2 linked regions of the Canis lupus familiaris genome follow. The protein of the gene in region 2 interacts with the protein of the main gene of each other region in a biochemical or structural test. Links are inferred from orthologs where the notes say so. Each region holds a gene or a part of one and is shown on either strand. Other genes may lie near its edges.

The links.
Region 1: the proteins of SLC9A1 (region 2) and TESC form a complex in vitro, tested with the Homo sapiens proteins (4 studies listed by BioGRID and IntAct, with this or other methods). The link is inferred for Canis lupus familiaris from reciprocal best matches to the Homo sapiens genes SLC9A1 and TESC.

The regions. Positions count from the first base shown.
Region 1 is NC_049247.1:14,024,603-14,028,704, forward strand, and holds the start of TESC (calcineurin B homologous protein 3), read right to left. Parts: upstream 2,801-4,102; 5' UTR 2,747-2,800; coding exon 2,689-2,746; intron 1-2,688. UniProt on the Homo sapiens protein: Functions as an integral cofactor in cell pH regulation by controlling plasma membrane-type Na(+)/H(+) exchange activity. Promotes the maturation, transport, cell surface stability and exchange activity of SLC9A1/NHE1 at the plasma membrane.
Region 2 is NC_049223.1:72,484,607-72,488,106, forward strand, and holds part of SLC9A1 (sodium/hydrogen exchanger 1), read left to right. Parts: intron 1-581; coding exon 582-1,042; intron 1,043-3,500. UniProt on the Homo sapiens protein: Electroneutral Na(+) /H(+) antiporter that extrudes Na(+) in exchange for external protons driven by the inward sodium ion chemical gradient, protecting cells from acidification that occurs from metabolism.

The sequences.
Region 1 (4,102 bases), on a different chromosome or scaffold from region 2:
CCAAGTTGCTTTACCTCTCTGAGCCTCAGTTTCCCTATCTGTACAATGGCCATATTGCCATCTTCCACGGAGGATTATCATGAAGATTCCACCAGAGTGCAGGCAAAGCATTCAGCACGGAGCCTGGTGCTCAAAGAATGATGTCCATCGTCACCATCCTGTGTTCATCCTGCTCATCATTTCCAGAGGGAGTCCTCAGAAAGGGACCAGACTGACTCTTCAATTTAGGGACCATCCTGGTCCTGGAAGAGGCAGGGGCCGCTCAGCAACCTTGTGGGCACAGCCTGTTCCCTGGCTGACTAGGCCTTGGGCTGAATACTTCCCAAGGATTCTTGTAGGAGCAGGGCCCTGGGAGTGGACACTCTCACGCCAAGCTAAGCACTTCACATATACATCATCTCACTGAATCCACGGAACCACCCGAGGATCCAGATGGGGACGCTGACACTCAGAGTGTCATGTAGCTGGGAAGAAGTGGGATCAAGCCTGAACTCTTAGCCGTGGTTTGGAGTGATGGGGACAAACAAATGGGTTTAAAAACGTAGCCAATACTACTAAACACCTGCCCAAAGCCACATACCTAGCAAGATCCTTTAAATCCGGCTTCCCCCTGACTATGGCTGCATCCTCATCTCCTACAATTATCATTTGTCTTCAATGTCTTCCTGCCATAGGACCTTTCCATGTGCCATTCCCTCTGTCCCAAACTGTACTTTCTTGCTGATCTTTGTGTAAACGGTTCCTTTTTATTTGAGTTTCTGCTCCATTTTGGCCTCCTCAGAGAAGCCCTCCTGGTCTCCCCTAAGGAAACGTTTCCCTACCCTTCCCCTGACTCTCATGCCACTGTGTGTCTCCCCCTCAGGAACATGAGCCTCTCTGGGTCACCTCTAAGTCCCCAAGTCCTCTTGATCAATGAATTCTTGCTGAACGAGTTAAAATGCCTAGACTGTGCCAGCCCCTTTCCGAGGACTAGGGGGATCTTTCCACCTAAAGTTCAAAGAACTGATGGCATTCCTTCTCCCTTCTAGACTGACCTCACAACCTCTTTCCTGATGCGCCCCTCCCTCATCTCCCTTCACCCTTTGGAGTATGAAAGTGGAATCCCAGGCAACTAGAAGGGAAGCTGCATCAGCCACTTGCAGGAAGGCTACAGGGGGAGCACTCCGCTCTGTCTTGCCCACACAAGACTGGACCCAGGAAATAGACATGACTTCCAGCATGCTCTGCGGTCCCATCACCTGTCACACTCCCCACCAGATGGAATTCCCCCCAAGTGCCTGCGTGGGGGCTGCCACCATGCTGGCAGATGTCCCAGCTACAAGGAACCCCAACTTCCACCAGTCCAAATACAAGGCACCAAGAGGTCACTTGGTGACAAAACCGGGGCGGGGGGAAACCCAGGAAAGAAAGAGGGGAATCCCACCTCTCTCACGTTAGCCGTGGGGTTGAAGTGCACTTAAAACTTTCTGAAGTAGACTATTTACACTGGATTCAAAATGAAAATATAAAAAATTTACTGTGAAGAGCTCACCCCCTCTCGGTCCCTTCCACCAAATCTGCAAGTATTTGCTATTCTTACTTCCTTGCGGATCGTTTGAGTTCTTGATGCAAACAGATCACAAGTATAAGCTCTTAGTATTTTTAAAAAGTGTTGCATGTTATATGCCCTACACATTGTGTATACTACACACTTTTTCCTCCAGTCACGGATAGTTCTGTGCCTGTCCACGAGAAGATGTAACGCAGCCCCATGTGATGTGTGCGTCTGTACAGCCAAGGAACCAACCCACCCCCCCACCCCAGGTACTGGGGGGCTTTCTGTCATTTTCACCGGACAGAGGTGTTTAGAGTTGGGGTCAGCAGGGGTCACGCGCGGCTGGGTCCCGGTCCCCCCACCCCCCCACCCCCCCAGGTGGTCAGTCACGGCCCGGTGGGCTGCGCTGAAGTCCAAGCAGGTGGCGGAGGCCGGCTCCTTCCCGGGAGCACCTTCCGCAGCTCGCACCGCCGGCGCACGGAGCTCCGAGCTCCCACCAGCAGGACGTCCATTCTGGAGGCGGAAACGGAGAGATGCAGTGACTAGCCCAAGGTCACACCGCCGGACGCCGCGTGCGCGCGCGGGACTCCCCTCCCGCCGCCGGATCGCCCCGGGCCGGCCCCGCCTCCTCACCGCACCCCACGGCGCGGGCCCAGGGTGGAGTCCGCGGCCCCCCTGCCCCGCACCCCCGCGGTCGGCGCGGCCAGCCCGGCGGGGCGCGGGGTGCAGGGCGCGGGGCGCGGGGCGCGGGGCGGCCAAGGTCGCGGGGCTCCGGCCACCGGCTGCGCGGACCGGCTCACCCCAGCACCGGCGGCCGCCCGGGTCCCGCCGACTTCGAAACTTTCCGGCCGCAGAGCCGCGGCGACTCCAGCCCGGAGCGGGGCGCCCCCACCGCGGACGCCGGCCGCCTGCCGGGGGGGGGGGGGTCCCTCGGGGCCGCAGCCCCCAGCCCCGCCGGCTCCCCGACACTTACTCAGCATCGCCGCAGCCCGCCAAGCGGCCGGCGGGGACCCATTTGCGGGAGAGGGAGACTGAGGCGCGGACGGGGCCGGCTGCGGGCCAAGGTGACACGGCGCGGCGGGGGGCGGCGGGGGGCGGCGGGGGCCGGGGGCGGCCGGGGCCGGGGCGGGGGCGGGGGCCCGCGCGGTACTCACAGCCGGTCTTGCCCACGAGCTCCCGAACCTCCTCGGACGCGGAGTGGGCCGCGCCCATGGTGCCCGCGGCGGCGGCGGGGCCCCGGGCTGGCGGCGGCTGCGCAGCGGGGGCCGCGTCGGGCGGGCGCGGGTCGGGACGCGGGTCGGGACGCGGGGACGGCGGAGCCGCGGGTTCCGCGTGGGGCGCGAGCGCGGCCTCTTATAGCGGCCAAGGGCGGCGCCCCGCGGTCCTAGCGCGCGCCGGCTTCGCGCACTGCGGGGATCCGGGAGCGCCCTGCCCCGCGGCCGGCAGCGCTGCGCGGGGGCCGGACCTCGGGGCCCACCGCCGGGGCGCCCCCGCCCCCAGGGCGGCCGCCCTGCTCGCCCGCGCCCCCCCTCCCGGCTCTGGAAGGAGGCAGGTGTCCGCACAGCTGGGGCGTAGGTGGGCGCAATCAAATCCCGGAGAGGTTCCACGTCCACCTGCACCCCGGTTCCATCACACAGCTTCCCAGATCTCAGAAGGGGAACTCACCCGGGACGGTGAAGAAACACAGCCAACATTAATTAGCTCTCTGGTGAACAGCAATAAAAGTAATGTAATCATAGTAATCCACCTTGAATGCGCACAAGGTGCTTTGCTGGTCTTATTCCCGGAAAGCCCCAGGCCCCTCCCCAGCACCTTGATGAAGCGGACACACCACGTGCCAGAGCGGCCCATCCCAGTGGCACAGCCCAGGAGCTTGGGGTGGGGGAGCTTTCAAACTTGAGGAGCAGGCAGCTTCCTGGCCCTGCCCCACCCCGCCCCGACTCCCACCCAACACCCCCATTCTGGCTCAGGCAGGACCCAGGAGGCTGGGTCTCAAACTATCCTATCCGGGGAATGTAATACAGGTGGCCTCCAACACGCCTGCGAGTTTTGCCTTGAATTGGCTTAAGGAATTGGATTCTGTGGTCAGGCTGGATGACCAGGGCCAGTCCTGCCACCTGTGTGACCGTGTTTCCTTCTACTCAGCAAGGGGACAGTGATAGTTAGTGAGATGTCCATCAGAAGGGCCTGCCACAGGACATGGCACAAAGCAGTTGCTGTGGAATCACGTCCATTTTACAAGGGAGGAACTGATTCTCAGAAAGGTCACACAGCCAGGGCAGAAATTCAAAGTCAACATTCTCTGGTTCTCAAGGCCAGACTACCGTGCTCCACGGTGCCTGGTGATGAAGCTATCAACGTTCAGCATGTATTCAGTGTACGTCCTGGGTGCCAGGCTCCGTGACATTGCCAGGGTGGGGGCATGGGCCACTTGGTGCTCACAAAGACCTGGGTGGGCCCACCTACATTAGTTTCACAGAGCACTGGGGAAAGGGTGCTGAGAACCGGTTGCCCATACCTATAGACTACAGGCCCAAACTGAGGGTCGCAGCCCTCCAGGGGAATCCT
Region 2 (3,500 bases):
GGGAGGCCAGACCTGGCTTCTGTCCTGGTTCTGCTACTGATTTGCTGTGTGCCCTTGGGCAAGTCCCTTCCTCTATCTGAGCCTCAGCTGCTCCATCTTTAAAGTGGATAGGATTAGGCTAGAAACAGGATGGCAGATAGGTTTTATCTCACATGGAAAATTGATTGATCTCTGTTTGGCTTCTTGAGCAGCTCTCTGGACTCAGCAGGAGAGCACATGAGTCTAGGATTGGAGGTGTAGGTAATGCCCTTAGATACCTGGGGCCTCAGTAAGCAATGTATCATTCTGCCTTCCGGAGGCATACAGAGCCACTTCTTTCTACTCTTTTATGACAGAGACAGAGATAACATCTATATATCCTAGAAAAAAACATTTTAAGAGCATCATCACTTAGTTTATACAGCGAACCCTGGGAAGCTGGTATTACCACTTCCACATCATGGGTGAGGAGGCCAAGGCTCAGGGAGTTAACAGAGCAGCCCTCTGAGGCCAAGCCTGCACTGCTGTCACCAGCCCCATCCCCAGCCTCGTGTCCTGGCTCGCCGCAAGCCCACGGCTTCCCGTTCTCTTGCCCTCTGCAGGTTTCCACGTGATCCCCACTATCTCGAGCATTGTCCCGGAAAGCTGCCTGCTGATCGTAGTGGGGCTGCTAGTGGGGGGCCTGATCAAGGGCGTGGGCGAGACGCCCCCCTTCCTGCAATCAGACGTCTTCTTCCTTTTCCTGCTGCCACCCATCATCCTGGACGCTGGCTACTTCCTGCCACTGCGGCAGTTCACTGAGAACCTGGGCACCATCCTGATCTTCGCTGTGGTGGGCACACTGTGGAATGCCTTCTTCCTGGGCGGCCTCATGTACGCCGTGTGCCTGGTGGGCGGTGAGCAGATCAACAACATCGGCCTCCTGGACAACCTGCTCTTCGGCAGCATCATCTCCGCCGTGGATCCGGTGGCCGTGCTGGCCGTCTTCGAGGAGATCCACATCAATGAGCTGCTGCACATCCTTGTCTTTGGGGAGTCCCTGCTCAATGACGCCGTCACTGTGGTGAGGAGCAGTGGCCACACCCGCATGCACCCGGGGCTCAGACCCGAATCCGGGTCCAGAGCGAATCCCACATCCACCTGCTAATCATAGTAGCGAAACAGCAAATGTCCATTCCTGCTTGCTGTGTGCCAGGCATCGTGCTGAGCACTCGATGTGGATTATCTCATTTAATCCTTGTGATGACCTTAGGAGGTGCTTCTTATTCCCACTTTATGGAGGAGGCAGCAGGCCCCCTGAAGTCAGATACCTTGCTAACATGTGATAGGACCAGGGTTAGAAGCCAGGGACTTCAGGGCCTGAGCTCCTGGCCTTCCCAGGCCATATGTTCTGTCCCTGACTTGGACTGTGATGTGAACTTGGTTAAATTATGTATCATCTTTAGACTTCAGTTTACCCTTTATAGGCCATTTAGTCTATGAGGGCCAGTTTAGCCATCATGTTGGCTGTGCCCTACGTTACAGTTCAGTTTGTGTAGAGTTCAGGGGCAGCCGTGGTGGAAAGGGACCCTGCCCTCAGAACATCCAGAAACGGTGCCTACGTGGCTCAATCTGTTAGAGCCTATGACTCTCCATCTCAGGGTCATGAGTTCTAGCCCCATGTTGGGCATAGAGCCTACTTTAAAAAACTAAAATAAAATTTATTATAAAAACAAAAACACAAACCTCCAGAAAGTGATAAATAAATGGATTGACCTGAGCTTGGCCACTTGCTTATTATGTGACCTTACGCAAGTGACTGTACCTCTCTGGGCCTCACCTTTGTTAGCAGCAAAGTAGCCGAGTAGGTAGTACTTTCCTCCTATGGTCTAGCAAGGACAGGAACTCCTAACGCGGTCCGCACATGGCCATACTGTACGTGCTTACACATGCCCTTCCTCCCAGCTAGCTTCCTCAGGAAACAGATATGTGTATGTGCACACTCACATCATGTTGTGAAAATACCCCCATTCTCCTCCTAGTTGGACTGCTCAGAGAGCAGCTGTACACACAGGAAAACACAAGGACACGTGTGCATGCCAGTGCATACTCACACATGCATTCCCTCTTTACCTTCCCCCAGTCCCTCAGGAAGCCACACTTCAGAGAAGAGACAGTGGTGGTTGGCTTGTCCTCTTCCTCCCCTGTTGCCTTCATTAGGTCCTTGTGGGGCAGCACAGCAGTCTGGTCTAAGCAGGCAGGCCTCGGTGCTGGTCCTTCTAGCACCAGCTCCTGCCTCAGTTTCTCTATCTGTAACAAGGATTGCAGTACCCAGCCTGTCATTCTCCCTGGGTTCTTATAGGAGTCACACCAGTGGGTACCAAAGACCAAGCCCTCTCCAGTTGGATCTGAGTATTGGGTTCAGGTTGGCACTCCTGGGAAACAGTGGGGTGCGGTTATATCAAGACCACCTTGGGCTGCTGGCCACACCTCCCCAGGTGGTGGGAGTGCTGGTGTTAATTGCTCCTGCTCACTTCCTGTCTGAGCACTTCCTGTCTGAATATGTATTGCCTCATCTAACCCAAACAGAAACACCATGAAGTTGGCACTGTATTTATCCCCAGTTTTTCCAAGTGAGGAAATAGCTACTAACAGGGAACTCGTCCAGGGGTATGTTAGCTGGGCCTGGGACCTACACAGTGGGAGTCCAGAATGCACACACTTGCCACTATGCTGCGCTGCCTCTGTAGTCCCATTGATAGTACAACCTGGTGGAAAAGGAGGAGCTTGCCCTCTCTACCTGCCCTGTTGACCCAGATGGTAGACCCTCAGAACCCATGAATCTCCTCAGGCCAGGAGTGAGTTTAGGTGGCCTAGAGCTGAGAACGCACCTGTTGTCCACTGCTGGAGCCCTGCCCCAGCTCCCAGGCAGCACTGGGGTCAGGCCAGTGCTTGGCATCTCCCCTTCTTGCTTGGCCCAAGTCAGGCCCTTTCTAGAGTTCTGGGCATGAGTGTGACTCTTTCCCAACATTAAAGCAGAAGGAGCCCCTGGGCTGCATGGTCTCAGGCCTTTGCTCTGGAGCAGGTCACCCCTGCCCATGCCTCCTTGCCTGTAAGTAGCAGGGGCTTTGGAGAGTTCCTTCTCAGCAATTCTCAGGCCCTCTTCCCTCTCTCAGCGGCCCCAGGCCTGGAAACTGCCCAACTGTTTTCTTGGCAGAGCTGGCTAGGAGTAGGTCCAGTAGCCAGGGAGCCAGCCCCTAAGTAGAGGCAGAGCCTCAAAGTTGCCCCTCTCCAGGAGAGCCTACCCACTGCTGTCAGGGAACAAGTTCTGGGTCTGGTTTTGCCATTGAGGACTCCACCACTCTGAGCTTCAGTGTAGGAAAGGAACCTGGCATCCTTGGGTCGCCTGCCTCATGAGGCTGTTGTGTGTTTAGCAGGATAGCCATTGTCCAAGGGCTTTCTAGTATGTGACCTGCCACGTAAACGTCTGACGATAGCATTACAGTGACTGTTTACTTCCTGGTCTAGGAGGTGGAGAAACA